Macaca fascicularis: one gene and its partners. The protein of the gene in region 2 interacts with the protein of the main gene of each other region in a pairwise test. Links are inferred from orthologs where the notes say so. Each region holds a gene or a part of one and is shown on either strand. Other genes may lie near its edges. The genes, in order: ATPAF2, RAD54B and RIBC2.

Region 1 (9,164 bases), on a different chromosome or scaffold from region 2:
TCTCGCTCTATCACCCAGGCTGGAGTGCAGTGGTGCGATCGTGGCTCACTGCAACCTCCACCTCTTGGGTTTAAGTGATTCTCGTGCCTCAGCCTCTCGAGTAGCTGTGATTACAGGTGCCCACTACACCCAGCTAATTTTTGTGTTTTTATAGAGATGGAGTTTCACTGTGTTGGCCAGGCTGGTCTCGAACTCCTGACCTCAAGTGATCGCCCACCTCAGTCTCATGAAGTGCTGGGATTACAGGCGTGAGCCACTGCACCCAGCCGGACTTTTTTTTTTTGAGATGAAATCTCGCTTTGTCGCCCAGGCTGGAGTGCAGTGGCACGATCTCAGCTCACTGCAAGCTCCGCCTCCCAGGTTTTACGCCATTCTCCTGCCTCAGCCTCCTGAGTAGCTGGGACTACAGGCGTGCACCACCTTTGCCCAGCTAATTTTTTTTGTATTTTTAGTAGAGACGGGGTTTCACTGTGTTAGCCAGGATGGTCTCGATCTCCTGACCTCATGATCCACCCACCTTGGCCTCCCAAAGTGCTGGGATTACAGGTGTGAGCCACTGCGCCCGGCCCCAGCCGATTTTTTTTTTAAGCAACAGAAAAAATCAGTGATATATGGAATAAAATTACAAAAATTATTTTTATCCCCCATTGTGTTTTTCTGTTTTATTTAGTTATGATTATTCTTGAAAATGTATCTTCTTGGCCAGGCGCAGTGGCTCACGCCTGTAATCCCAGCACTTTGGAAGGCCGAGGTGGGCAGATCATGACATCCTGGCTAACACGGTGAAACCCCCGTCTCTACTAAAAACAGAAAAAATTAGCCAGGCATGATGGCGGGCGCCTGTTGTCCCAGCTACTCAGGAGGCTGAGGCTTATGAACCTGGGAGGCAGAGCTTGCAGTGAGCCAAGATCACGCCACTGCACTCCAGCTTGGGCGACAGATCGAGACTCCCTCTCAAAAAAAAAAAAGGTATCGTCTCTTGAAGCCAGCACATGTCCCATAGACCACAGACCCAAAACAATGCCTTATGTAAGGTAGAGGCTTGATGAATGTTTGAAAAAATAAGACGGGCGTGGTGCCTCACGCCTGTAATCCCAGCACTTTGGGAGACTGAGGGAGGCGGATCACTTGAGGTCAGGAGTTTGAGACCAGCCTGGCCAACAAGGTGAAACCTCATCTCTACTAAAAATACAAAAATTAGTCAGGCGTGATGGCAGGCGCCTATAATCCCAGCTACTCAGGAGGCTGAAACAGGAGAATGACTTGAACCTGGGAGGCGAAGGTCGCAGTGAGCCGAGATCGCGCCACTGCACTCCAGCCTGGGGGAGAGAGCAAGAAAGACTTCATCTCAAAACAAAAAAAAAAAGTTTGAAAAAATGACTGCTGACTGGTCATGGTGGCTCATGGCTGTAATCCCAACACTTTGGGAGGCCAAAGTGGGCAGATTGCTTGAGTCCAGGCATTTGAGACCAGCTCGAGCAACATGGTGAAACCCTGTCTCTACAAAAAATTAGCTAGGTGTGGTGGCACATGCCTGTAGTCCCAGCTACTTGGGAGACTGAGATGGGAGGATCGCTTGAGCCTGAGAGGTTGAGACTGCAGTGAGTCAAGATCATGCCAGCACACTCCAGCTTCGGTGACAGAACGAGACCGTGTTTCAATAAAAAAGAAGAAAACCTCCATGATATATGACATATATAAACATTTTAAGGAAAACCATTTTAAGTATTGTTTTTAACTTTTATATGGCCTCAAATGTGAAAAACTTTTTAAAGAGATATAAAAGGCACATGGCCTTTTGATGGAGATTCCAGGTGAATGAATGAACATTTCAAGCAGCTGCATATAACTGAGCCCCAGCTCACATGACTCAGGAACTATCCCTTCATTCAGCACAGTTTCTTGGTCCTCTAAGTTTGCTCTTGAGGGACAGAAAATGAGATCGGAGCCAGGGGCAGTTTCTCACACCTGTAATCCCGGCACTTTGGGAGGCCAAGGCGGGTGAATCACCAGGTCAAGAGATCGAGACCATACTGGCCAACATGGTGAAACCCTGTCTCTACTAAAAATACAATAAATTAGCCGGGTGTGGTGGTGGGCGCCTGTAGTCCCAGCTACTCGGAGGTTGAGGCAGGAGAATGGCGTGAACCCGGGAGGTGGAGCTGGCAGTGAGCCGAGATCGCGCCACTGCACTCTAACCTGGGCGACAGAGTGAGACTCTGTCTCAAAGAAAAAAAAAAAAGAAAATCAGGTCAGGAGGCCACTGACCATGGTGGCAGTTGCTCCTGGAGGCCTCAAGACTAGCTCCTTGGCCAATGCACACACATGCTCTGAAGCTTAGGCCTTTGTTTTTAGTCAAAAGGTGGGCTGCTCTTGAGCTACAGCATGACAGAGACACGCCGAAGCCCTTTTCCTTTCAGATACGGCGTGGAGATCAACTCCTCCACCAGCATAATGGGACCCAGCATCCCCGCCAAGACGCGGGAGGTGCTCGTCAGCCACCTGGCATCTTACAACACGTGGGCTTTACAAGGTATGTAGAGAGTTTCCTGTGGGCTTGGCAGGTGGCTGTGAAGGCCATCAGTATCCGAAGCCTGTGCTTGCCCCTCCTCAGGTGCTGTGAGTAGAGAGGCACAGGGGCGTTCTGGGCTAGCTGAGTGTGGAGGCTGGCTGGCTCTGATGCTCTAGGCTCACACTTTTCCACCTTTGACTCTCCAGCGGAAGTCTTGAGTTCAATCTCATTGCCCTGGCTTGGGTCATATGTCCATCCATGAACCAATCACTAGACTGGTGGGGGAAGCTCTGATTTGCCAAGTTCGGGTCATGTGTCTCACTGGGTAAGAGCAGAGGAGGATGGGAAAACCAGAGTGCTCTTTCAGAAGAGTGAGACAATCGCTGGATGGCTCTTTGCACCACTCGCTTCTGTTCTCTGCTAGGGCTGCTGGGACTCACAAGGGGCAGGTTGTGGCAGCTGCCCTGTTTTGGATCCTGACTTGGCTTGTGTCCCTGCAGGGATTGAGTTTGTAGCTGCCCAGCTCAAGTCCCTGGTGCTGACCTTGGGCCTGATTGACCTGCACCTGACAGTGGAGCAGGCTGTGCTGCTGTCACGCCTGGAGGAGGAGTACCAGGTGAGGAGCAGCACCTCAGGTCCCGCCTTCCCCTTCCTAGTTCAGACTCGCTTTGGGGGAACAGCTAACCCATCTGAAATACAGTTATGCATAGTTGGCTTTCATTACTTTTGTGTACATGCAGAAATCAAAATCAAGGACCAGCAGAAGTATTGTCAAGTAGGCCTGGCGTGGTGGTTCACACTTGTATCCTAGCACTTTGGGTGGCCGAGGAGGGTGGATCATTTGAGGTCAGGAGTTTGAGACCAGCTTGGGCAACGTGGCAAAACTCCATCTCTACAAAAATACAAAAATTTAGCGCCTGTAGTCCCAGCTACTTGGGAAGCTGACGTGGGAGGATTGCTTAAACCTGGGAGGTGGAGGTTGCAGTGAGCCAAGATTGTGCCACTGCATTCTAGTCTGGGTGAAAAAGTGAGACCCTGTCTCAAAAAAAAAAAGTATTGTAAGATAATAACATTTAAAAAATAACAGTAAGTGCTACCGCTGTGTTCCTGCACTGTATCCATCTCACCTCCTCTCAGCAGCCTGGGCAGGTAGGAGCTGTGGTTATCTCTGTTTTACACAGGAGGAAACTGAGGTGCAAGGTTGCACCTCTGGAAAATGTGCCAGCTAGGGCTTGAAGCCAGGTCTGGTGATTTTAGGCCAAGACTGTCAGGCCTCACTCTGCACAAGGAGGTTCACGGGTGGATAAAGACCATCTGGGCTTGATAAAGCCTGCAGAACAGGCCCTGCCAAGATGACTGAGAACCCGTTTGTGCTCCTACATCAGCTAAGCCTTCATACCCTGACATTTTATCTGGCTGGCAGAGGAGCATAGGGGCAGCTGCTGTTTGTACACAAGTTTTGATTTAGTGGGCTCAGAATTAAGGTTTTGCTACAGTATGGTTTGCATTTTTTAACTCTGAAAATTATGGCCATCTTTGCAGTTATTCCACCAACCTCAGAAGGTTAATTGCTATTATGAATTGGTCCCTAGTATGGTAAAAAAAACAAAAAAAAAGCTTTTTGTGATGTATTTCCCTAGTTCTTATAGTCTTCTGCTCAGAAAAATGCCAGGGAAAAAAACTATTTTTGTATAACAAAGTAGGCCTGCTACTATTCTCTGGATGTCAGAACCGATTACATAGGAAGGGGGTGACTTGTAGGGCTGGTGGGAAGCCAGTCTGGGCACTGCTTCTGACTATGGGACCCAAGCCAGGCCATCATTCTCTGAACTTTGGTTTCGATCCTCTACAAACAGAGGAATAACCTGAATTATGTATGTGATGGTATACAATGAAAGTATGGAATACTCTTCAGATGACTTATTACAATTGTACAGTTTGGGACCAGGCAGCCCAGAAGTTCAAATAGCTTGTGTAGCATGGCAGATTCTGAGTTCCTGGATGAGCTGGGGCGGCCAGGCCAGGCCTCTTGGGCAACTAGCCAGGGAGGAGCCAGCAGGGTCTGGTTGGAGTTACACTGTCTGGACAGCCACACCGTGTGTCTGAGGGTTCCTCCCTCTTGTTTTTAGAGCTCCAGACCCATCCTGGCTAACATGGTGAAACCCCGTCTCTACTAAAAATACAAAAAACTAGCCGGGCGAGGTGGCGGGCGCCTGTAGTCCCAGCTACTTGGGAGGCTGAGGCAGGAGAATGGCGTAAACCCGGGAGGCGGAGCTTGCAGTGAGCTGAGATCCGGCCACTGCACTCCAGCCTGGGCGACAGAGCGAGACTCCGTCTCAAAAAAAAAAAAAAAAGAGCTCCAGACAGAGAATCTGCAACGTGTCCCCAGTGTGCAGAGCAGAGGCATCTGTAGTTCTGTGACTACCACAAGAGTTAGAGTTGAAGCCACTGCATGGCCTTGCTTGATTTAGTTATTCCACCCACATGGGGCTCGGGGTGCACTTGTAGCCCAGCATGGCAAGGCAACTTGCAGAGGCTGTCCGTTCACAGGCTTCCCGGGAGGAAGTGTAGGAGAAGGGATGGCACATAAGTCAGGCCTCCTCAAAGAAGTCACATGGGTGGTTCTGGTACCCAGCCTGCTCAGTGGTGGGTGGGCAGCTACTGGCCCTGGGCCTGGACTGTACTTCTTCTAGACCATCCATGCCACAGAAAGCACAGGTGCCTGCTCTGGCTCCCTGAGTGGTTGTGTGTGTGTGTATGTGTGTGTGTGTGGTGCTCTTGAGACAGGGTGTTGCTGTGTTGCCCAGGTTGGAGTGCAGCGGTATGATCTTGGCTCACTGCAGCCTCAACCTCCTGGGCTCAAAGCAGTCCTCCTACCTCAACCTCTCAAGTAGCTGGGACTATAGGTGCACCCCCACCACACCCAGCTAATTTTTAAAACTTTTTGTAGAGATGAGGTTTCACCATATTTGCCCAGGCTGATCTTGAACTCCTGGGTTCAAGCAGTCTTCCTGCCTTGGCCTCCCAGAGTGCTGGGATTACAGGCGTGAGCCACTGTGCCTGGCCCACCTCGGTGTTCTTACCTGCCGCCTCCCTCTAGGCATGTCTCGTGTTTTGGCAAGATCCAAACCTGTTGCCCTCAGCCGAGCTATTGGAATGGAATGTGGCTTTGGCCAGGAGGCAGCCAGGCACTGGCCACTCACCCAGCAACTTGTCTTGTCTGTCCCTCAGATCCAGAAGTGGGGCAACATTGAGTGGGCCCATGACTACGAGCTGCAGGAGCTGCGGGCCCGCACCGCTGCCGGCACCCTCTTCATCCATCTCTGCTCCGAGAGCACCACAGTCAAGCACAAGCTCCTGAACGAGTGAGGCCTGGGCAGCACACACTCAGCAGGATAGAGGCAGCGCAGCCACAGCTCCCCCAACCTTCAGGGCTCCTCAGCCTGTGGGGCTGACTTACTTGACTTTTGGGGCCTCGGCCTCAGCATCACCCTGAGATTTCCCTGAAACACAGTGCGCTAGTGCGACTGTCCGGAGGTCAGCCTGATTTCAAACCAGGTGCCCCTGGCCTGGTCAGCAATGAATGTGGGAGATGAATTGTACAACTAACTTTCTCTCAACCCTGATTTTATTAAATATTTCTCCACCCTGGAAATGTGCTGAGCCCTGTTTTCACGTGCACTTCTGCACTTCTCTATTCTTCCTGTTTTGTCTAGGTTCCAGAGGGTTAAACAGCTTATCTCCCATGGCATGTTTGGATATCTGCTGCCTGTGGTTGGGAACCTTGTGCTGGGGAAACAGTCATGTCATCCACAGACAACTCTATTTGTGTTCTTCAGCCTCAACTTGAAGGCTTTTTTTGGCTGGCTTTTAATCAATCTTTTGAAATGATCGTGGTTTAAGCTGGTTGTTTCTATTTGTTCCTACTGTTCTAAAACAAGTGATTTACTCTAGAAAGTAGAAAATGGACAGGCTTGGCGAGGTCACTTGATGTGCATGTTTCCGCTCATCTCCCACCCAGGAGTCCCAGGGGTCCTCCCGACATAGCCACCTCTAATGTCCCAGGAGGCAGGTGGTGCTGTCTGGTGTCACGCCAGTAAGAGGGCAGTGGGGATCCCGAGTGTGGTTCTTAGGCAGACAGGCTGTCTCAGTCCTGTGTCCTTGCCAGCCTGAGTAAGGTAATGGCATCAACCCTGTTCACACGGCACTGATCACATGCTGGGTGCCTCTCCATGCTTCCCACGCACTGTCTCCCTGAACTGTTCCTCGAAGGCACTGTGAGGTACTATCACAGATGACACCAGGGCTGCGGGGGTGTGGTGGAGCTGGGATGCCCCGCCTGTGCTCTGCTCTTCTGGAGGGTCCTCAGGTCCCTGTGACTAACCTCAGCCTTGGTGGGCAGGCCCAGGCCCCCACACTGTGGTGGGAGCTGCAGCCTCTCCTGCATTGCTGCCCCTCAGCACCCAGAGCAGAGAAGGTCTCAGCCCACACTGGCCTCCTTTTGCCTGTGGCCAGCAGCCTGCCTAGGCATGGCAGGAGAAACGGCAGGGGCACATGTCTGACTTTATGCCACAGCCAAGAGTCTAGCTGATGGCAGTGCCCTTGGGAGTCACTCTGTCAGCTGGCCTGGGACCGGCTGTTCATCTCAAACTCTTTCTCCTGTTCCTACATGAACATGAATTCTGATTTTTTTGTTTTTTGTTTTTGTTTTTGTTTTTGTTTTTCTTTTGAGACGGAGTCTTGCTCTGTCACCCAGGCTGGAGTGCAGTGGCCGGATCTCAGCTCACTGCAAGCTCCGCCTCCCGGGTTCACGGCATTCTCCTGCCTCAGCCTCCCGAGTAGCTGGGACTACAGGTGCCCGCCACCTCACCCGGCTAGTTTTTTGTATTTTTAGTAGTGACGGGGTTTCACCGGGTTAGCCAGGATGGTCTCGATCTCCTGACCTTGTGATCTGCCCGTCTCGGCCTCCCAAAGTGCTGGGATTACAGGCTTGAGCCACCGCGCCCGGCCTTTTTTTTTTTCTTTTTTTTGAGACAAAGTCTCGCTCTGCTGCCCAGGCTGGAGTGCAGTGGTGCAATCTTGGCTCACTGAGACCTCCACCTCCCAGGTTCAAGCGATTGTCCTGTCTCAGCCTCCTGAGTAGCTGGGATTACAGGCACACGCTACCATGTCCGGCTAATTTTTGTATTTTTAGTAGAGACGAGGTTTCATCATGTTGGTCAGGCTGGTCTTGAACTCCTGACCTCGTGATCTGCATGCCTCGGCCTCCCAAAGTGCTGGGATTACAGGCGTGAGCCACAGTGCCCAGCTGATTTTTTTTTTTTTTTTTAATGAATAGGGGAAATGTGACATGAGTCCTTTATTTTCTCTACTTTTGGAAGTTTTTCCAGGGGTGGGGCAAGAATGGTGTGGGGGATCGTAGTTGAGAGATGCCCAGCAACTCTCCTGAGGTGCTCGGTGAGGCATGTGCACTTCCTTCTCTTGGTTAGGGCTGGTGCTATGTTTTGAAGAAGCTCCTGTGGCTGACACTCATCTAGTCTAGGATGTCGCTATATTCCAGGTTGTCCAGTTCGCTCTGCATGTGGTCGATGTACTGATTGATCTCCTTTACGCGCTTACGGTTTCTCATGATCTCATCCTTGTGAATCTGAGGAGTGAAACCAAAGCCCGATACCTTACATCAGATCATTGGTTAATATCTTTCACTGAGTCCAGTTTGAGGGAAGGGGAAAATAGTTCCTTGAGATCTGCAAACCTCCGCATTTGCTTCGGCGCCTCCCCAGGTTCTGCTGATCTCTGTGTATTTGAAGTAGGAGTTAGGAAAATGATGAAGCCCATGGGTTTTGTGTTTTTTTTGAGATGGAGTCTTACTTTGTCACCCAGGCTGGAGTGCAGTGGCACGACCTTGGCTCACTGCAAGCTCCACCTCCTAGGTTCACGCCATTCTCCTGCTTCAGCCTCCCGAGTAGCTGGGACCATAGGCGCCCGCCACCATGCCCAGCTAATTTTTTGTATTTTTAGTAGAGATGGGGTTTCACCGTGTTAGCCAGGATGTTCTTGATCTCCTGACCTCGTGATCTGCCTGCCTCGGCCTCCCAAAGTGCTGGGATTACAGGCGTGAGCCACCGCGCCTGGCCGAAGCCCATGGGTTTTAAAGTCTCTGGGCAACCTTGTCTTCAGTGTGGAGTTCTATAATCCTTAATTTTATTTCTTCTTTCATTTCATTCCTAAATGAGAATTCTATCCGCTACCTAGGGAGGATTTCCATGTCAGCTAGAAAAATTTGTCCAACCTGCTAGGATGGCTTGGCATTGACTCACCTTGTCTACTAAACGTGTACACCAGGAGTTGATTCTGGTCACCAGCTCATCTTCTCGATTGTCAATCTTCAGAAGGTGGATGTCGTGCGATGCCCCGACAGCATTAACAATCGTATCTTTATCGACAAAAAGCTGGTGAGTGAAAAGAATCCAATGAGAACATGTGTGTCATTACACCCTGAACACAAAGAGAGCTGAATAGAAAAGGAGCATTTGGAAGTCCCCTGGCTGTGCAGGCCACACTCAGAGCAGAGCTCACCTTTGTATCAGCGCACTCTGCCGATTCATCTGTGAATTCATCTGTGACAGCTGCCTCCCCAACCGCGCAGGGC
Region 2 (10,976 bases):
ATTTGTTGGCATGACTGAGAAATGAAAGTATAGGTGATGGGTACTTTTTCAATTTGATGGCGAACTGAAGAGAGATTGCTAAAAACTATATGTATCAAAGCCATCTGCTCCTCAACTGTTTACATATAATGATTGACTTTGAATATGTGGCCTTAGACTGTATCTGCAGAGTCTAGTTATGTTTTTTGGGCTTCCACACTTTTGACTACAGACTTCTTTGAAATTCCATTTCTTATTATTGTGTTCTAAGTTCTTATGTCTAATTTCACATCTGAGATGTTCTGTCGCCAGGCTGGAGTGCAGTGGCACAACCTCGGCTCACTGCAACCTCTGCCTCCCGGGTTCAAGCGATTCTCCTGTCTCAGCCTCCTGAGTAGCTGGGATTACAGGTGCCCGCCACCATGTCTGGCTAATTTTTGTATTTTTAGTAGGGACGAAGTTTCACCATGTTGACCAGGCTGGTCTCAAACTCCTGACCTCAGATGATCCACATGCCTCGGCCTCCCAAAGTGCTGGGAGCCACTGCGCCCAGCCACATATTCTTGAGTTTAAAATGGAATAAGGTTTTGAGGTATTCATTTAAAAAAAAAAAAGCCGAATTACATGATTTTCATTTTAAAGCAATAGACAAAACAAAAATATTAGTTAAATAAAAATTCTTAAACTTTTTTTCAAGTTAATAAATCTCAACAAGTTATTTGAGTTGACAAACTGTGTAGTATTCCCCACGGAAAGTCTCTTGGTTTGCTAAGAGATACTTTGGACATATTTTGGTAAAGCTTTGGTCCTCTTTAAGTCTGCAGCTGCTTTCAGTTTCCTCTAGGAAGGATGCTTTTAGATGTTCTGGTAATCCTGGAATGGTAGAATTGCTACTTACTCTGATGAAACATTTCACCTGGCCCTTCCAGAACAAGTTAGGGTCCTCTGGAATCACTGTTCTCTTTAAGCTACATAAGGAATCAAAAATAATTCACCTGAAAGCCCAAGTCATATAAAATAAATATTATCCACAACTGCTCTATTACCATGTGAAACTTATTAATTTATTTTTTTACTGAAGCGAAGTCTCACTATGTTGCTCAGGCTGGTCCTGAACTCAAGCTATCCTACTGCCTCAGCCTGCCAAGTAGCTGGGATTACAGGCACGCACAAGCACACCCAGCTACCATGTGAAACTTTAAAAAACTGTTCAATAATTTTCCCTCCAAAACTTATTTGGATGAAAAAGTAAGAAATTAGTAACGAATAGAGCTAGGTACTAATCCTGCCTTTGCCATTCATTAACTTCTGTGTGATATGAACAAATCACTAGTGGGCATTATTTTCTCATATTCTGAAACATGAAATAGAAGTAGGAATGTGTGTAGTGGGGGAGGTGAATATGAATCAAAAGAGAAATTTACTATAGATACTTATTATAAAGTAAAAAATAACAGTCCAAAATTGATCAAGTGTAATGGCTAGGAGACAAGTGGGATCACAACTGAAAAAGAAGGGTAATCAGACTAAAAGGAGGTGTCCAAATTATTTTTCTCCTCCCCACTCCTCCCACCCCAGCTATAATGTTGATGCTGCTTAACCAATTAACTAACATTACCAATAAGTAATAACCAATTAATGTGTTAGTTCAACATTAAAAGTCTCTGTAACTAACACATTAATGTGTTATTACAACCAATAAGTAATAACCAATTAATGTGTTAGTTCAACATTAAAAGTCTCTGTAACTAACACATTAATGTGTTATTACAACCAATAAGTAATAACCAATTAATGTGTTAGTTACAGAGACTTTTACCTCCAATATTTGTTACTGTTAACCCCAAGGCACACTATAATGTCCTTATAAAAATGTTTAGGGTGATATACTTGGCATTTAATGATTGAAGAAGGAAATGAAATGAATACCAATATATTGGTGTATACCAATATATTCATTTCCAAAGATATATGTATCCACATAATTGGACAAAGACTGATTTTTTCTTTTGAGACAGGGTTTCATTCATGTTGCCCAGGCTGGTTTTGGACTCCTAGACTCAAGCATTTCTCCCCACTCGGCCTCCCAAAGTGCTAGCATTACAGGCATGAGCTGCCACACCTAGGCCTAAATTGCATTTTATTAGTTTCCTTTAGAGATAATCCAAAATCAGACTATACACTTCTGCAGAAAAGTACTTTTGAACTACACATTATGGTGTCCTTTGCATTACCAAGTACTTCATGTTTAGTATTTGTTGAATAACGGAAATCTTGTTTTTTAAACTTCTTTTTCTTTTTTTTTTTTGAGATGGAGTCTCGCTCTGTTGCCCAGGTTGGAGAGTGCAATGGCACGATCTTGCCTCACTGCAACCTCCGCCTCCTGGGTTCAAGCAATTCTTCTGCCTCAGCCTGCCCGGTATCTGGGATTACAGGCACCTACCACCATGCTCAGCTAATTTTTGTATTTTTAGTAGAGACAGGGTTTCACCATGTTCACCAGGCTAGTCTTGAACTCCTGACCTCAAGTGATCTGTCCGCCTTGGCCTCCCAAACTGCTGGGATTACAGGCGTGAGCCACCATGCCTGGTCTTTTTAAACTTTTTACTTGAACTAATGTTTGACTTGCAGAACACTTGCAAAAACAGAACAGAGAGTTCATGTGTACACTTCTTTCAGCTTTCTTTCTTTTCTTAAGAGGCAGTGTCTCACTATGTTGCCCAGGCTGGTCTTTTCTCAAACTCCTGGCCTCAAGCAATCCTCCTGCCTTGGCCTCCAAATAAATATAAACAAATATTTATTGAGTGCAGTCTGTAAGACTAGTACTGTTCTGGCTGGGCGCAGTGGCTCACGCCTGTAATCTCAGCACTTTGGGAGGCCGAGGTGGGTGGATCATGAGGTCAGGAGTTTGAGACCAGCCTGGCCAATATGGTGAAACCCCGTCTCTACCAAAAATACAAAAAAATTAGCCGGGCATGGAGGTTCATGCCTGTAGTCCCAGCTGCTTGGGAGGCTGAGGCAGAAGAATCACTTTAACCCAGGAGGCAGAGGTTGCAGTGAGTCAAGATCATGCCACTGCACTCCAGTTGGGTGACAGAGTGAGACTCCGTCTCAAAAAACAAAACAAAACAAAGCAAAAAAGACTAGTACTGTTCTAAACACATGGGTGCAGCAGAGAATAAAGCAAAGATCTTGCCCTCATGTAGCTTATATTCTGAGAGTAGTAGAAAAACAATAAACAAGTAAGTGTATGTTAGGGAATGGAAAGTGTGATGAAAATCTATAAAACAGGGTAAGGGAGATAGAAGATGAGACAAGAGAGTAACACACTGTCAGATAAGGCCCTTTGACTACTTGATATGTGAGTAATGATCTGAAGTGAACAAGCAAACCAGACGCAAATCTGCAAGAGGAATGTCCCGGCTACCTTTAGCCAATCTGTTTTAGATTTTCTGAACTTCCCAGATGATATTAAGGTAGGCTGCAGACACTACGAGAGCTAGCTTGTTTTCTGGTTACCCTTACTCTTTACGTGTCCCAGTCCAAAGACGAGGGGGATGCAGTTTACCAAGGTGCCCAACCTTGGTAGGTCCCCATTTCAAATTCTTGTAACCCTGGCTCCGGGAGCTGCCAAAAGCACAACTCAACCTATGAGGTGCTCTTTATGACTGGAAAAAGTCCCCAGGATAAAAGCTCCTTAAGGAGCACATTCTTCTTTTTTTTTGAAACAGGGTCTCTCTCTGCCACCCAGGCTGGAGTGCAGTGGCGCCATCTCAGTTCACTGCAGCCTCCACCTCCCAGGTTCAAGCGATTCTCCCGCTTTAGTCTGCTGAGTAGCTGGGACTACAGGCGCGCCCCACCAAAACCAGCTATATTTTTAGTAGAGACCGGGTTTCACCATGTTGGCCTGGCTAGTCTCGAACTCCTGACCTCAAGTGATCCGCCCCCCTCGGCCTCCCAAAATTCTGGGATTACAGGCTTGAGCCACCGCTCCCAGCCTCAAATTACTCTTTTAAATAGCTGTACCTATTTACACTCCTACCAGCAGCCCAAGAGTTCTCACTGTTTCACATCTTCATTTCACCCTTGATATTTTTTAGCTTTTACTTTTTGTCAAACTGTTGGATAAAACTCAGTAAACAACCTTTAGCCATTCTCTATCCTTTCAGATTAGCCTTTCTAATACCATTTTTCAGGGATAGCTGACTGTGTCATCGCCTAGCACTTAGAAGGTGCTAAGCAAATACTCATTGAATGATGTAACTTTCCTATTTAATATCCTTTAATGCTTTTCCAAGTCCGGGGGCGGCTTCCCTTTTCTGAGAGCCTAATAATCACGTATTCATTTCTATATTCCCAGAACCTAACAAAGTTTGAAAATTATCCTGCAGGCAACACTAGGTCAATGTTTTTTCGGATTAATTAATAACCAATAGGATATCGTATACCTCTGCGATGCACGCATTTCTATTATCGCACACACCGAATCATACCTTATTTATTACTTATCCACGCAGATGGTGAGATCTGTAGCCTCGGCATCTACACTGTGTCTGAAAGTAGGCACGAAACCGGTATTTTTTTAATTGAACCGTAAACTTGAATCAAACTTGGAAGCCTTTAAAGGGAAACGCAAAGGTACATGCGCAGTGATGCAATAGGGTCGTCCAATCAGAGTAGGGCAGGACTGGACAGTGCAGCGGCTAGGTAGTGCGCACGCGCACCGGGCTCGTCCGCGATTGGCTTCGCCGAGGCGGGAGCCTTGAGCTTCTCCGGTGGCGAGGGAACCGCTGGTTACCAGAAGTGCTTCTTTGCAGGGCCAGTGGTTTCTGTCAGATTTTCGCCGGTGCGTCCTGGAGGGGGAAGCTCGGGAGGCCGCGACAGCCTGTAGGCTCGTGCGGGACAAAGCAGGGAGTGGCGCCGGAGCAGGCCTCCGAGGGAGGAGGGAGGGAAGGAGGCAGGAGCGACCGAAGTGGCCTCCTGCGGGCCTGCAACTTTGGTCTGAAGTGCGAGGGACGCCCTGGCTGCTGGCCCCGGGGGGCTAGGAGCGAAGGGCGGGTGGTGGGGGTGTAGAGGTGTGCGTTTGTGTGCGAGGGATGGTTGTGGGCTGTGGCCCCTGGGGCCGCCCCTGCTGTCGCTTTGCTCAGGCTTCTGTGGCGTTTGGGTCTCTCCCTCACTCCTGCACTGGGAAGCCCCATCCCCAGCAACAGGGGGTGAAGGCTCCGCGAACGCCCTGGAGAGTGTCGGTACGCCTTCTTTAGGGACTTTTACCTCCTCGCTGGTCAGGTTTTTCTTGTATTTCCTTAAAGTCTTTTAATCGATTACCTTATGAAAGATTTTCTAGGTAGGTACAGATGCTTCTCGACTTACTACGGAGTTGAAAATATCCTAAGTCGAAAATGGATTTAAAACAGCTAACCTACTGAGTATTAAAGCTTGGCCTAGCCTAGTTTTGTTATCAAAAAAATTAATTTTCAGCGGTTTATTTTAGATTTGGGAGTACATGTGCAGGTTTGTTGCATCGGTATATTACGTGGTGCTGAGGTTTGGATACGATTGATCCTGTCACCCAGGTAGTGAGCATAGTACCCAATAGTTTTTGAACCCTTGCTCCTCCTTTCCTCCCCCTTCTAGTTGTCGCCACTGTCTATTATTGCCATCTTTATGTTCATGAATGCCCAGTGTTTAGCTCCCATTTATAAGTGAGAACATGCAATATTTGATTTTCTGTTTCTGCTTTAATTCGCTTTGGGTAATAGCCTCCAGCTGCACCCATGTTGCTGTAAAGGACATGATTTCATGCCTACCTTAAACAAACTCAGAACACTTACCTTAATCTACAGTTGGGCAAAATCATGACCACAGACAGTTATGTGGTTACTTGCACAGTTTCTACTAAATGCTTATGGCTTTCTTAAAAGTTGAAGAATTCTAAGTGAAACCGTCCTAAATTAGGAACCATCTGTATAGCCGGAGTCTCAAAGGAGCAACTTAAGGCATGAAGTGAGATAATTACTACTTAATGTAGTTGGAAGTCGAAAAGCAGAAACAGCAGGGAAAGACTGTTGCTGGTTCTTGGTAGAGTTGGTTTACTTACATTCTTGCATCCCAGACGTTTGATGGTTGCACATAACTCTCTTTAAAGCCCAGACGAACCCAAAGATTCTGGTCATTGTCCTGTATGTTGAACTACCCCTTTTCTATCTCCCTCACAGGACCTTCGTCATTTCTATTCTCCAATAATACTAATTATAGATAGTAATATTACAGATAACATTGAGTGCTTATGTGTCAAGTTTTGTTTTAAGTGCTTTACATATTTCATTTAATCCTCCCAACAGTCCGGTGTGTAAGTATGATTATGGTACCCCCTCTTAAAGATGAGGAAACTGAGACACATGGAGCCTAAGTAAACTGTGCAAGACCATTGGGAAGTGTCAGTATTTATATTCAGGCATTTGCTTTCAAAGTTGTGTTCTTATTTACCACAGTGTAGTGCCAAGTACTTGTGGCTATCTGGTGTATTGCAGTTGTCAGCCTGGCCTTACCATTTTACTTGGAAGGACTGAAGCTAACAGGTGTTACAGAAGTTGTAGCATCACATCAGGGCTACCAAATGGCTTTATTTCTAGGACCTGGGAAAAGGGCTCAGACAGCACTAATTAATTTATTAATTTATTATGGACAGGACAACATGAACATACAGAACTAGTTTAAAAAGCTATAAGCGGTACTCTTTTGGGGGGAAATGTACTGATCTCTGCATTTTACTTTGAAATGCATCAACAAATTAAATGTCTTGATGGGTGCCTAAGGTCATATGTAAATAGCACAGTTTGGATTCTAGCCAGGCAGCCTGGCTGGCTCCAGAGTCAGTCTGTTTTCTTAATCACTGCTCTGTGATGATGCTTGTATGCTTGCATTATCATTTTTATTAGTTTACAAAATAGGAAGGTTGAAAAATCAGAAATCATGTATTAGATGTAGAAGGGTTTAGGGTAGTAATTCTTCACATTTAGTGTTGAAAGAAATTTTAGCATCTAGTTCATTCTTTATTTTATAAATGAGAAAATTGGTGTCTAGAGAGTTAAATAGCTTCCCCAAAGTCAAGCATCCCTGAAATAGCAGAATCTGAACTACACTCTGGTTTCCTTCATTTCTACTGTTGATGTTTCTAACTACTGTATTTTTTTAAGTGTTCCTTTTGAAAAAGTGTCAGAATTTTCACAGTATTAAAGGGGAGTCTGATTAATGTAGAGAACAGAATGATGTGGACATCATATTTTTATTAATGCTATCTAGAATTTATTAGTTTAAGAAGGCTCATTATCTTATTTCAGTTGAACTATAGTCACTAAAATCTTTAGTTTTAAATTTCAGCTTCTAATGTTCTATTTCATTTGACCATTAAGTAACTGAGTCTAAATGCAAGGCCTAACATCCATGTCCTCTTGTGACAGTTGCCATTAATCAATTTCAAACTTGTGTCAATTATATATTTAGAGACCTGTAGTATTCTGCTTACCCATTATAAAAAGGAAATTAGTTTAATGAAGTTATTTTGGCATGACTTGTTTGGCCAGAATTTGTATTTACTTCTGGCATTGGCAAATACTGCTTCTAAAGCAGTCAAAAACCATCTGTTTCATAATTTGCTCTAAGATTAAAGATTATACTAATAGAGATCTATTTTGTTGTTGAATAAGAAATGGAAGAGAGTGACCTCTACTACTCATTCCTCAAACTATGTAAAGGCTGGTTATATATCAAATATTTACATGTTTCATCATTTTAACATTGATGAAATTAGGAAATGTCTAACCATCAATGATAGTGTATCATAGTTTAATTGGCTACACTTTTTTTCTTGGATACATAAAATAATGGTACATCTTACAACTAAAAAAATTTTTATTTTTAAAATATTTACTTTTAAACATTTCTTTTATATGGACTAACAACCAAGAGTATATCTTACAATTGATGGCATTTTAGATTTGATGAAATATGGTAATTTAAAAAATCTAATTCATGATACTTTTCCCTATTACAAAGGTAATATTTTCATTGTAAAAAATTTGAAATATACAGAAAATAACTCAGAATAGAATAAAAATTACTGGTTATTCTAACCAGACCTAGAAATAATTACGGTTAATATTGTGGCATGTGTTTTTCTAGTTTTTAAAAAACAATTGTATATTTTAATATATGACATATATATCTACTTTATAGCAGTATAATTTACAGTGTGCAGTTAGATGTGTACATTTTGATGTTTTGATATACAGATGTATATATACTCCTGTAACCACACTACAATCTTATATAGATTATTTCTGTCACTTCAAACAAGTTCTCTCATGCTCGTTTGCTTTCTAGTCTTTTAAATGTACATATACGCGTTATCCTTTTTCTTTTTCTTTTCTTTTTAAAAATTAGAATGAGACTGGACATGTTTTGTCACCATTTTTCCTTTGATTTATCAAAAAATATTTCTCATGTCATTAAACATTTTTTTAAAGTGTTGTTCCCTGCCCCCTCCCCGCCCCAATTAATGGTATCGTTCACATAACAAATACTGAACTCCTTCTGCGTATTTGGTACTGGCAATATAGTGATGAATTGTATGTAAGATTTCATGCCTGAGTTAATAGCTCAGGGGGAATGATAGGGCAAATTTCATTGCAGTATGAAAAGTGCTTGGGTAGTGCATATGCAGAAAGGTCCTCCAGTCCAGTCTTTGGGAGGAGATGAAGAGGGCTCATGGTTAAGACTTCTAGAGGATAAGGTAGAATTAATCAGGCAAAGAAAAGTCGGAAAAAGCATTCCCAACATTATATAAGAGAAAGTTTGTTCAAAGCCTAGAGAAAAAGAGAACATGGCTAGCTTGGGGAATAGTACTGACTCAATTTTGGTGGTATATGAAGACAGTGTGTTCTGTTGTGTGGGTGTACCATAATTTATCTTGTACTTCATTACAGACATTCTTTTTCCTTTTTCCCCCTACTGTAATTAATACTAGCAGGATTATTGTTTTTTCTTTCTTTGTTTTCTTTGAGACAGAGTCTCGCTCTGTCACCCAGGCTGGAGTACAGTGGTGCAGTCTCGGCTCACTGCAACCTCTGCCTCCCAGGTTCAAGCGATGCTCATGCTTCAGCCTTCTGAGTAGCTGAGATAACAGGCATGTACCACCACACTTGGCTAATTTTTTTTTTTAGACGAAGTTTCGCTCTAGTTGCCCAGGCTGGAGTGCAGTGGCGCTATCTCAGCTCACCACAACCTCTACCTCCTGGGTTCAAGTGATTCTCCTGCCTCAGCCTCCCGAGTAGCTGGGATTACAGGCACGCACCACCACGCCTGGCTAATTTTGTATTTTTAATAGAAACAGGGTTTCTCCATGTTGGTCAGTTGGTCTTGAACTCCTCACCTCACGTGATCTGCTCAGCTTAGCCTCCCAAAGTACTGGGATTACAGGTGTGAGCCACTGCACGCGGCCTCAAATTTTTATATTTTTAGTAGAGACGGGGTTTCGCCATGTTGGCCTGACTGGTCTCAAACTCCCGACCTCAGGTGATCCACCTGCCTTGGCCTCCTGAAGTGCTGGGATTACACTCGAGCCACTGTGTCCTGCCCAGCTGATTATTCTTATATATGGTTACTTAGTATTATCTCTGATAGTTCCTTAGGTTAAGTTGCCAGAATTGGAATTTCTGGGTGAAACAGATAACGTTGGTAGTCATGTTCATCCTTGCTGATGGCTTATGTTAAATAGTGTTTTGTGGTATTGTTTTGAATTGGAGTACTTGCTACTATCCATTGCAGAAACATGATGTATGTATGTAATGTCCTTGTTTTCTGTCTGTTCCCCTATCCAGTCCTCATAGAAATAAGATTGAGCAAAAGTTGGGAAACCTGGTTCTAGTCTCTTGATTTATATTTTTAAAAATTCCACTGTTTTCAAATGAAATAGGATAGTAAAAACAAATTGAATTATAAAAATATCTTTTAAATTATCAGATTTCATTCATTCAAAATATTTGTTAGTGATGGTAATGTATCTGTCACTGTTGCCAGACACATTATAGTGATTACTGGTGGAGAAAACAAGCATGAGATTGCTACCCTCATGTGGTTTATGGATTAGTGGAATAGAAAAAAAGCAACATGTTTGATATTTGTATGTGAATTGTATTTCCTTATATTTTGAAATTTTTATTTAAATTGCTTTAAAGAAGATACCATGATTATACTTAAATTTTTGATAAATTGACATATACTTAAATTTACACCATTTGTATTAGTCTGTTCTCACACTGCTAATAAAAACATACTTGAGACTGGGTAATTTAAGGAAAGAGGTTTAATGGACTCACAGTTCCACATGACTGGGGAGGCCTCACAATTATGGCAGAAGGCAAAGGAGAAGCAAGCCACATCTTACATGGGAGCAGGCAAGAGAGTCTGTGCAGGGGAACTCCCATTTATAAAATCATAGGATCCCGTGAGACTTACTCACTACCATGAGAATAGGCCCTGGCCTTGACGTGGGGATTATTACAGTTCAAGGTGAGATTGGGGTAGGGTTACAGCCAAACCATATCACCGTTCAATTTAAATCTTAAATTATTTTCTTTTTTTTTTTTTTTTTGAGACGGAGTCTTGCTCTGTGCCCCAGGCTGGAGTGCAGTGGCGCGATCTGGGCTCACTGCAAGCTCCGCCTCCCCGGGTTCACGCCATTCTCCTGCCTCAGCCTCCCGAGTAGCTGGGACTACAGGCGCCCACAACCGCGCCCGGCTAATTTTTTGTATTTTTAGTAGAGACGGGGTTTCACCGTGGTCTCGATCTCCTGACCTTGTGATCCGCCCGCCTCGGCCTCCCAAAGTGCTGGGATTACAGGCGTGAGCCACCGCGCCCGGCCTAAAATCTTAAATTATTTTCAATAGCCCTTGATGAAAACTAAAATCTTACTAGCTATTGAACTTGTTTTCTTTTTC
Region 3 (10,357 bases), on a different chromosome or scaffold from region 2:
GTCTTGCTCTGTCGCCCAGGCTGGAGTGCAGTGGCCGGATCTCAGCTCACTGCAAGCTCCGCCTCCCGGGTTCACGCCATTCTCCTGCCTCAGCCTCCCGAGTAGCTGGGACTACAGGCGCCCGCCACCTCGCCCGGCTAGTTTTTTGTATTTTTTAGTAGGGACGGGGTTTCACCGTGTTAACCAGGATGGTCTCGATCTCCCGACCTCGTGATCCGCCCGTCTCGGCCTCCCAAAGTGCTGGGATTACAGGCTTGAGCCACTGCGCCCGGCCAAGGTTTTTTTTTCAAATGCAATTCTATTATCTGGTGGGTGGGGACTTTGCCTGGGTTCGTTGATCAGGTTCGCTTGTCAACTAGAACTATGGTCCCCAAAGAAGGCTGTGCAGGATCTGTGGGAGAGCAGATACCAGAGCCCTGCTTCATATTATTTTTAACCTCATCGCTTTTGATTTCTATGTTCATATGTAGTTATAAGCATGTGCTGTCATTAAAATATAGTAGTACCACACTGTGAACTAAATATATTGGAGATACAAGCTCAAAACTGTCCTCCTGGTGGGGGCAGGCAGTCAAAAATCCTAGAGAGGCTGGACCAGACACCAGAGAATGTGAGTTTTCAACACAGGGGAGAGGAATGAGGAGAGCCAACTGGGTGCTGGGGAGGACCAAAGGGCAAAGCAAGACACCTGAAGTCCGAGCTCACCACCCAGTGAGCTGCAAAGGTCTTACAGATCATCCATCCCTGCCCTTCATTTTACAGAGGGCGCCCAAAGACGGGGGTCTGTTCGCTCCAGTCCCCACTGCAAGTGAATGGCAGGATGCGACCCTTGACAATTAGTCCACTGTTGGCTGGTGATCCGCTCATTCGTTTATGGAAGCGATGATGATGATGATGATGATGATAATTCATTCATTCATTCATCAGTTCAACCAGTGTTTATGGAGCCCTTCCTGCTGGGCTTTGGGTTAGCTTTTGCTAAACCCTATTGTCTCCTTCATCAGTTGATTCATTCCTGTATTCTAGAAGATGTTGAATGGGCGTCTACAGCCTGCCTGGTATTCTCAGCCCCCAGCTCCTCATGTGGATGCCGCGAGGCAGCGCCATCACAAACACTCCTGCACTGGGGAGAGCCGCCCTCCGGCTTCTGCAGCTCTGTTCCTAACTAGAACTGGGCTTTTTGATTAACCTGGGATATTAGTACAAGGTTCTGGATAACTATCCTCAAAAGAAAAGCCCAAGAAGGCCGGTCCAGTTCAACAGGAAGGACACACTGAGGGCCTCCAGTTCTTGGGCTGGGGCTCACTTCGTCAGAGAGGCGTCGTGTGTCAGTTGTGGCATCAGGGTCTGACACACAGGCTCTGGAGCCTGACCACACGGGTGCGAGACCACGCTCTGCCCTGCAGCCTTGGGCAGGCCACCCACTGCCTCGGTTTGATCATCTGCAGAATGAGGAAGCGATAACGCCCTTCTGTGTCAGTGAGAATGTGCTTACCCTTTTGCTGGGGTAAGAAGCACCCACCAGTCTCAGTGGCTTAAACAGAAAGTTGGTGTTCCATGCATGCTCCCTGCCCACCGTGGACTGGCTGTGAGGCCTGCTCCTCGGCATCCTCACTTTGGAGCCCAGGCCCTGGGACTGAGTGACTGCCAGCTGGAGGATCCTGGCAGCACAGGAGGGAAGGAATGTGGCTAGTCCCCCCAGGCATCCTCCCAGGAGCAGTACTGCTGCCCCTGCTCACATTTCACTAATGAAAGCAAGCCACATGGCCACGCTCACTCTAAGTGGGCAGGACACGTAGTTCTGCCCCGTGCCCAGGAAGAACACTGTTGATAGCGAATGGTCAGCAGTATTGGCCATCACACCTGCTAGTAAGGTGGCTGCGAGGACTCACATGGTAATGCACGTGACAGGTCAGGACAGTTTGGCACATAATCAGGACTCAGCAGATGATGGTCATTATTATTATTGTTATTATTATTAGAGACCAAGTCTCACTCTGTCGCCCAGGCTGGAGTGCAGTGGTGCCGTCTCAGCTCACTGCAACATCTGCCTCCCAGGTTCAAGTGATTCTCCTGCCTCAGCCTCCTAAGTAGCTGGGATTACAGGTACACTCCACCACACCTGACTAATTTTTTTTTTTTTTTTTGTATTTTTACTAGAGATGGGGTTTCACCATGTTGGTCACACTGGTCTTGAACTCCTGACCTCAGGTGATCCACCTGGTTGACTATTATTTTTAATTTTAGCAACAATTAGCTGCTCTTAGTAGTCACTGTGTTCAACAGCCCTCCCACAGAGGCATGGTTAATCCCACTTAACTGACAAAGAAACAGGCTCAGGCCCAGGCATGGTGGCTCATGTATGTAATCTCAACGCTTTGGGAAGCTGAGGCAAGAGGATCACTTGAGCTCAGGAGTTCATGACTAGACCGGGCAATACAGTGGGACTTTGTCTCTAAAATTCTTTTTTCTAATTAGTCGGGTGTGGTGGCACGGCCCTATAGTCCCAGCTGTTTGAGACACTGAGGTAGGAGAATCACTCAAGCCTGGGAGGTGGAGGCTGCAGTGAGCTGTGAGTGCACCACTACACTCCAGCCTGGGCAACAGAGTGAAACCCTGTCTTAAAAAACAGAAAGAGACTGGGCACAGTGGCTCATGCTTGTAATCCCAGCACTTTGGGAGGCCGAGATGGGCAAATCACGAGGTCAGGAGTTTGAGACCAGCCTGGCCAACATGGTGAAACCCCGTCTCTACTAAAAATACAAAAAATCATCTGGGCGTTGTGGCAGAGGCCTGTAATCCCACCTACTCGGGAGGCTGAGGTAGGAGAATCACTTGAACGTGGCAGGTGGAGGTTGCAGTGAGTTGAGATTGCGTCACTGCACTCTGACAGAGCGAGACTCCATCTCAAAAAAAAAAAAAAAAAAAGGAGGCTTGGAAGGATGAGCTGACTTTCTTAGGGAGTACTCAGTGGCAAGTCCAGTATTTGAAGTTGGGCCTGTCTAGCTACAAAGTGTGTGCTGTGTGACTCCATCAAGCTGGCCTCCGGTGAGCACCTGTGGAATGCCAGCTCCTTGCAAACTGCCCTGTCCGTGTGTTACTGAGGACAACTGTTATCCCAAGTACATATCTCCTAAAAGCCATCTTCCGACTTTACAGAGAAATGACTGCAGCCCAGAGAGGGGAGGTGACTTGGTGCAGGTCACCCAGCCAGAAACCCCCCAGGGAATCAAACAGAAATGAGACCTGGAATTGCTTTGTACTGGGCACTGCGGCTCAGGACCACTGAAGTGACAGTGCATTTTCTACCATTTAGAAGTCACCACTGTTGTAAATCACTCTGTTGAGTGTTCTTTGCAGCCCACAGATGTCCAAGGGTTGCCAGGGGCACAGAGCTGTGCCTTGGTTGGGGCCAGGCCCATGTGGGGTGGCGGCCTAATCCAAGGAGAGAGCTCCCTGCCTTGGCAAGTTCGTGCAAGACCCAGAGCTCTTATGCACACACCCAACAGGTGGTGATCCCCCGAGTCCAGCCCACCCGCCCAGCAGTGTGCAGACAGCCAGGGGTTCAAGGACCCTCCCGCATCCGTGCCTGACAAGTCTCCCCTCCACCGAACTCCTGCTGCCCTTAGCATATCCTCCCCTCAAGGGCCCCCAGTGAGGTTTGCTGGCCTGGGTGTCAGAATACCCCTGGGGTCACTCGGACCATCTTCTTTAATGTCTTCACCTGCTTAGGCCATTGAGTCAGTGGAAAGGAAAAAGCGAGAGAAAAAGCAAGAACAAGAGGACAACTTGACTGAGATCACCAACCTGCTGCGTGGGGACCTGCTCTCCGAGAACCCGCAGCAGGCAGCCAGCTCCTTCGGGCCCCACCGTGTGGTCCCCGACCGCTGGAAGGGCATGACGCAGGAGCAGCTGGAGCAGATCCGCCTCGTCCAGAAGCAGCAAGTCCAGGAGAAGCTGGTGGCTGCCCCGCCCCTTTTCCCGAGCCCGCAGAGCTGCCTTCCAGGCACAAATGCAGTTGTAGCAGGCCTTGTGCTCTGCCCTAGGACCTGCCCTCAAGGAATTTCCCTTCTAATCGGGGGGAAGACAAGAGCCAGATAGTCTCACACCCATATGATGTGGCATCAGGAGTAGGCATGCCAAGAAAGAGAACAGTAGACTGGGAAGACACTGAAGCAAAGACCCAAAAGAGGGTAGGGAGGGAGCCATGTGTCTGCCTGGGAAAAGGGTGACTGGGCAGGGCGAGCTGCAAGGGCACAGGCCTTGAGGCAGGACCCTGCCGGACCTGCTCAGAGAAGAGCGAGGAGCCTGGTGGCTGGAGTGGAGTGAGGAGAGGGGCAGGTGCTGAGGCCTCAGAGGCAGAGTGTCAATGTCCTGGCAGGCCACTGGGGAGGACTTTGGCCTCTTCTGTGACTGAGATGGGGAACTCTGCAGGGTTTTGGGCAGAGGAGTGACAGGATCTGACTTAGGTTGAACAGGACCCCCAGCATGATCCTCCTGTATTGAGGGCGAACACTATAGGGGCTGAAGGGGAAGGAAGGAGATCTCCAGGAAGGCCTCTGCAGTGTTCACAGTGAGAGGCGATGCTGGCTGGGACCACGGGGCAGGCAGTGGGGTTGCTGAGCAATGGTCAGATTCTGGATCTATGTTGAAGGTACAGTTGACAATATCGGATGAATGTTTGGGTGGGGATGTATGAAGGAGAGGAGTTAAAGGCAACTCCAGGTCCTGTGGCCTGAGCAACTAGGCGGATGGAATTGGCTTTTCCAGAGATAGGGAAGATGGTGGGAGGAGCAGGTTGATGGGGTGGGAGGGGTGGAAATCAAAGTTACAATTTTGGATATATTAAGTGTGCAAAGTTCATTAGAGATCTGTATCTATTAGGATTAGATTTGCCTGAATGTGGCAGAAAACCACAAATAACAGCATCTTAAACAAAATAGAACTTTCTCTCTTGCAAGTAAATCCTCAGGAAAACAGTTCAGGGCTAGTATGGCAGCTCTGTGGTCATTGACTGATGTCCTGCTATCCTTGGCTCCTGGCTCTCACTTCTTAGTGGACGATGGCTGCTCGAGCACCAGCCATCACAGGCATAGTCCAGCTACCAGGAAGGAGGAATGGAGAACACTCTAAGGAGATTTCCACTTACATTTCACTGGACAACACTTAGTCACAAGGTTGCCCCTAACTCTAAAAAAGTCAAGGAAATGTGTTTATTCCAAGCAGTGAAGTGCTGGTGATTCTTTTACTAAGGAAGAATGGAAAATGGTTACTGGGAGACAAGTAGTATTTTCTGCCACAGCCTCCAATTAAAGCCCAGGAGGCAGCTGGATATGTAACACAGGGCTCAGAACAAGGTCTGGGCCAGAGGCATAAATGTGAGTCGTCACCTACAGAGAGTATGTATGCATGCATTTTGAGACAGAGTCTCACTCTATCACCCAGGCTGGAGTGCAGTTGTGCAATCTTGGCCCACTGCAACCTCTGCCTCCCAAGTTCAAGTGAATCTCCTGCCTCAGCCTCCCCAGTAACTGGGATTACAGGCATGCACCACCACATCCAGCTGATTTTTATATTTTTAGTAGAGGTAGGGTATCATCATGTTGGCCAGGCTGGTCTCAAACTCCTGATCTCAAATAATCCTCCTACCTCAGCCTCCCAAAGTGCTGGGATTACAGGCGTAAGCCACCATGCCCGGCACTACAGAGAGTATTTAAAGCTGAGGACTGAGTCCTGCTCCCCACTCAGAACCCCTCTTCTCACCACCACTATTTATAAAGAGCAAAGGAATCTGAGAAGGGGCCGCCAGGGAGGTGGACAGATGCAAGCCGTGGTTTCCTGGAGGCCAAGTGAGGAAAGGTGTTTGGGAGGGAAGGAGAGGAGAACCCCTGGGTCAAACGCTGCTGCCAGGCTGCAGGCTAAACGCTGGATCCGGCACCATGGCAGTCACCGGGGACCCCGTCAGGAAGGAGCACATTTGGCAGAGGACTGGGGCCTCCAGCCTAGTGGGCTCAAGAGAGAACAGGCAGGAAACAAATGGAGATGGCACGTGTAGACAGCACTTACAAGGCGTTTGCTATAAAGGGTGCAGAGAAATGGAGTGGGAGCTGGTGGGGGCCGTGGGGTGAAGGGAAGGTTTTTGTTTGTCTTGATTGTAGAAATAACAGCATGCTTGTCATTCAACCGGAGTGATGCAGTAGAGGGGGCATTGATGCCTGAGGAGACACTTGCTGGAGCCATGTCCCTGGGCTGCAGAGAGCAAGGGACATGGAGTGCTAGCTGAGGGCTTGGTGTGGCCTGGGAGTTTGGAGCCGTCATTGGAGTCACGGGAAGGGGCGTCAGGGCAGGAGCTTGTGGGTGAACAGAAATGAGACCTGAAATTGATTTGTTCTGGGGACTGTGGCTCAGGACCACTGAAGTGACCGTCATTTTCTACCTTTTAGAAGTGGAAGTGAGCAGGGTTGGGGGGAGTTAATGTAAATGGTCATCTAGAAGAACTGGAAAGGGAACAGTCTGGAGGAAGGGGACAGGCTGGTCGGACAGTGCCCAGGGCCCACTGGGGGGTCATAGTCATAACCTTGAAGTGACCCCAGAGAGTGCTGTCGGGGTGTCCCCACCCATGCTTAGCCGGATTCATCGTGGTCACTGCCTGCCTGACCAAGTGAAGAACTCAGGGGACCGAGGGTAGCGGCCTGGGAGCGTCTTCCATGAGACTAACCAGGGGGCCAGAGAGAGATTGGAAAAGTGGCGGCCAGCGGACTGGAGGTCACACTTCGCGGGGGGCATCATCATTGGAATCAGGGACTTGGAGAGAGTGGAAGAGGCGGGTTAGAGCAGTGAGACTGTGGGGGCAGCGTTATTGGTAATAACAAGGGAAGGGTGGAGGGTCCCAAAGGGAGGGTCTCCGGACCTGCAGCATCGGCTGGGTGGGGCCCGCAGTCTGTGATTTCAAAAGCCCCCAGGGGATTCTGATGCCCACTCAGGTTTGAGACCCACTGGTAGGGTGTGCCCAGCGGGTGAGAAGGTGAAGCCGGGACTAGGTCTTCGGAGAGGAGGCGAGAGAACTGAGCAGCTGGGGACAGGAGAGGGCTGTCTGTGTATGCTGAAACCACTGAGAATCCTGGCTGGAGAGGTCTGGAGAGGGCCTCAAACCTGCAGAGTGAGTGGGAGAGGCCAGGCTGGGCTGGCAGGTGCATAGTTGGTGTGAGCTTCTGATTTGGTGGGTCTGGGGAGGAGGAGGGACAGTGGCAGTGGTGTGGACCAGGGCATGAGGAGTCGGGGCGGCAGCTCGCCCACCTGCTTCCCTGCAGGCCAGAGGTGCATGTGTGTGGGAGGCTGCAGTAGGGCCGGGACCTGCGCAGGCCGCAGGTGTGAGGTTCAGGATGTAGTCTAAGGTGGAAAGGGTGCCGGGGCTGGAATTGGGGTCCAGGGCCCTGCTCTGTGCTTCAGGACGCAGCTCCGCCTCGACTGTCTGGCACAGAAGATCAGCCATCCTGAAAGCAGCATTGCTGTCTAGTTTTCATTTTTTATAGAAAATTAAGAAGACGCCGGGCGCGGTGGCTCAAGCCTGTAATCCCAGCACTTTGGGAGGCCGAGACGGGCGGATCACGAGGTCAGGAGATCGAGACCATCCTGGCTAACACGGTGAAACCCCGTCTCTACTAAAAATACAAAAAACTAGCCGGGTGAGGTGGCGGGCGCCTGTAGTCCCAGCTACACGGGAGGCTGAGGCAGGAGAATGGCGTAAACCCGGGAGGCGGAGCTTGCAGTGAGCTGAGATCCGGCCACTGCACTCCAGCCTGGGCGACAGAGCGAGACTCCGTCTCAACAAAAAAAAAAAAAAAAAAAAAAAGAAAATTAAGAAGACAGAAAAGCACAAAGGGGGAAAAACCTCCCCACTCAGAAATACTGCCCCTTCCTTTCTGGGTCCTTGCCTCCATCCCCTTCTGTGCGTGGAGGTAACTGGGAAGGCTGGAATCTCGCAGCAAACAGCTGGGCTGTCTGCTTTGCTCTTAGCCCGGCTGACTGTTTCCCATGCCATTCCCTGTTTGCCACCAAGCAGCTCTTGTGATGACCCCGGGCTCCTGACAGCAGCCTGGCTTTACAGCGGGGGACACTGAGGTTCGTGAGAGCAGGTGACTTGCCTCGTGGGTGGCAAAGCCCACCAGCCTGCCCTCAGTCCCAGGATGGGGCCGCCCAGACCCCCGTGCCACTCACCGGACACTTATCCTTGCTTATTTGGTGGGAGGAGGCTCTGCCCTAAAAATGGCAAAAGTGGGCAAAGGGGACCCGTCTTCAGCCCTAACAAAGCTGACAACACGTGGGCAAGTGCCCCTCCCTCCACACAAATCCAGCGTCCTCTTCCAAGGCCCCGGAGTTTTCACAGTGAGGAGGGCAGTGAGGAATGAGCTGAAACACAGCAACTCAGGGGTCGGGGTGCCCCTCTGGGACCATGAGCTTCTTGTCACCGGGTGAGGCTATGGTGTGTGCATGTTCTGGAAGCTGCCCAGGTGATCTGCATTCAGTTGTGGGACAGCTGGCCATGGCTCTTGGAGGTGGCATCTGACTGCTGACCGAGCCAGGGAGCCCCCTGAGGACCTGAGGAGGGAGACTCTGGGCCCGGCCTGCACCTGGGAGCCCGGCAGCCGGGAGTGGAGGCTGTGGTAGGAATTGAGTCCCTTCTGTGTCTTCAGGAGAAGGAGGACAGCCAGCACCTCCTGATGGGGGAGGACAGCGGGCCACGTGGAATGAGGGCAGGCTGGGGGTCTCCTCTGGCTTCCTGCATGACATTGGTCACCTACCTGCCCCTCCTCTGAGCCTTGGTTTCCCCATCTGTAGAATGAGAAGCCAGGCCCCCTAGACAATCCCCTGGGGCTCTTTGGCTCTGGGGAAAGGCAGTGGTGAGCTGCCTCTTTTCCTTCCAGAGGCTCCAGGAAGAAAAGCACCAGCGAGACCTGGACTGGGACCGGCGGAGGATTCAGGGGGCCCGCGCCGCCCTGCTGTTTGAGCGGCAGCAGCGCCGGCAGCAGCGTGACCTGCGCAGAGCTCTGGACAGCAGCAACCTCAGCCTGGCCAAGGAGCAGCGTTTGCAGTGAGTGCTGGGTGGGACCAGGGCCAGGTGGGGGACCTGGTGGAGGGACTGCAGGGCTGTGGAGGTTGAGGACAAGGAGGGGCCAGGAGGGGAAACACCCCGGCCTGGTGGTCCTCATCTGGACACTGTGGACCTCAAGTGGGCTGGCTTGGGTTGACAGACCCAACCCAATGACAGTGACCTGTGTGGTCACTGCTGTCCACACAGGGTGCATGGGGCTTTTCCACACCAGAAAGCCCCAGAGAAGAACACTGAGTCTGCTGGGGGAGTCAGGAAGGCTTCCTGGAGGAGGCTTCATGGCTGAGACCCAGGAGGAGGATGGCATTACCTACTCAGGGATGGCTTTCCAGGCAGAGAGAGGGGCTCCCTGGGCTGCCCCCAAAAAGCCTGGAGTCTCTTGGTTATAGACAGGACCCCAAGAGTTCAGAGTTCCAGCTACAGGAAGATGTCAAATGCAACTAAATAGGTGAACTTGCAACTGAAAAACACAATATTTATTTACTTATTTATCAAGCTCTTGGCTTAAACTCAGGAGGGGCCCAGGAATATTTTCTCCAATCAGATGTCTGGTTGCTGGTTGGTCCATCTGTTATCATCACTTCTGCTGAGGGCCTAAAAAGGAGCATTAAGAATGATCTGAGGGCCGGGCGCAGTGGCTCACACCTGTAATCCCAGCACTTTGGGAGCCGAGGTGGGCAGATTACGAGGTCAGGAGTTCGAGACCAGACTGGCCAACATGGTGAAACCCCATCTCTACTAAAAATACAAAAATTAGCTGGGTACAGTGGCATATGCCTGTAATCCCAGCTACTTGGGAGGCTGAGGCAGGAGAATTGCTTGAACCCGGGAGGTAGAGTTTGCAGGGAGCCGAGATTGTGCCATTGCACTCCAGCCTGGGCAACAAGAGCAAAACTCCGTCTCAAAAAAAAAAAAAAAAAAAAAGAATGATCTGAAAAGCCAGGCATGGTTGGAGCATGGTTGAAATCCCAGCTACTGGGGAGGCTGAGGCAGGAGGATCGCCCTGAGCCCAGGAGCTAGAGGCTGCAGTGAGCTATGATCACACCACTGCACTCTACCCTGGATGACAGAGCAAGACTTTGTCTCTAAAAAAAGAAAAGAATGATCTGACAAATCAAATGGGGTGAACAAAGTGTACAGTCACACCCATGGAGATTTAATTTTCCTATGTCCCCAACTGTTACTGGTGTAAGTCCCTCATCTACCTGCAGTGTAATTATCAAATGACCCTCGCCGCCGAGGAGTGGT

Evidence for each region.
Region 1: the proteins of RAD54B (region 2) and ATPAF2 interact in a two-hybrid assay, tested with the Homo sapiens proteins (2 studies listed by BioGRID). The two-hybrid records come from large-scale screens. The link is inferred for Macaca fascicularis from reciprocal best matches to the Homo sapiens genes RAD54B and ATPAF2.
Region 3: the proteins of RAD54B (region 2) and RIBC2 interact in a two-hybrid assay, tested with the Homo sapiens proteins (2 studies listed by BioGRID and IntAct). The two-hybrid records come from large-scale screens. The link is inferred for Macaca fascicularis from reciprocal best matches to the Homo sapiens genes RAD54B and RIBC2.

Annotation. Positions count from the first base shown.
Region 1 is NC_088390.1:18,130,547-18,139,710, reverse strand, and holds the end of ATPAF2 (ATP synthase mitochondrial F1 complex assembly factor 2), read left to right. Parts: intron 1-2,355; exon of another isoform or gene 2,356-2,385; coding exon of another isoform or gene 2,386-2,405; coding exon 2,406-2,533; intron 2,534-3,012; coding exon 3,013-3,128; intron 3,129-5,743; coding exon 5,744-5,881; 3' UTR 5,882-6,167; downstream 6,168-9,164. Other genes in the region: DRC3 (dynein regulatory complex subunit 3), read right to left, coding at 8,046-8,159, 8,833-8,964. UniProt on the Homo sapiens protein: Plays a role in the assembly of the F1 component of the mitochondrial ATP synthase (ATPase).
Region 2 is NC_088382.1:104,117,293-104,128,268, reverse strand, and holds the start of RAD54B (DNA repair and recombination protein RAD54B), read left to right. Parts: upstream 1-4,710; 5' UTR 4,711-4,825; intron 4,826-10,976. UniProt on the Homo sapiens protein: Involved in DNA repair and mitotic recombination. May play an active role in recombination processes in concert with other members of the RAD52 epistasis group.
Region 3 is NC_088384.1:6,156,708-6,167,064, reverse strand, and holds part of RIBC2 (RIB43A-like with coiled-coils protein 2), read left to right. Parts: intron 1-3,732; coding exon 3,733-3,960; intron 3,961-8,924; coding exon 8,925-9,091; intron 9,092-10,357. UniProt on the Homo sapiens protein: Microtubule inner protein (MIP) part of the dynein-decorated doublet microtubules (DMTs) in cilia axoneme, which is required for motile cilia beating.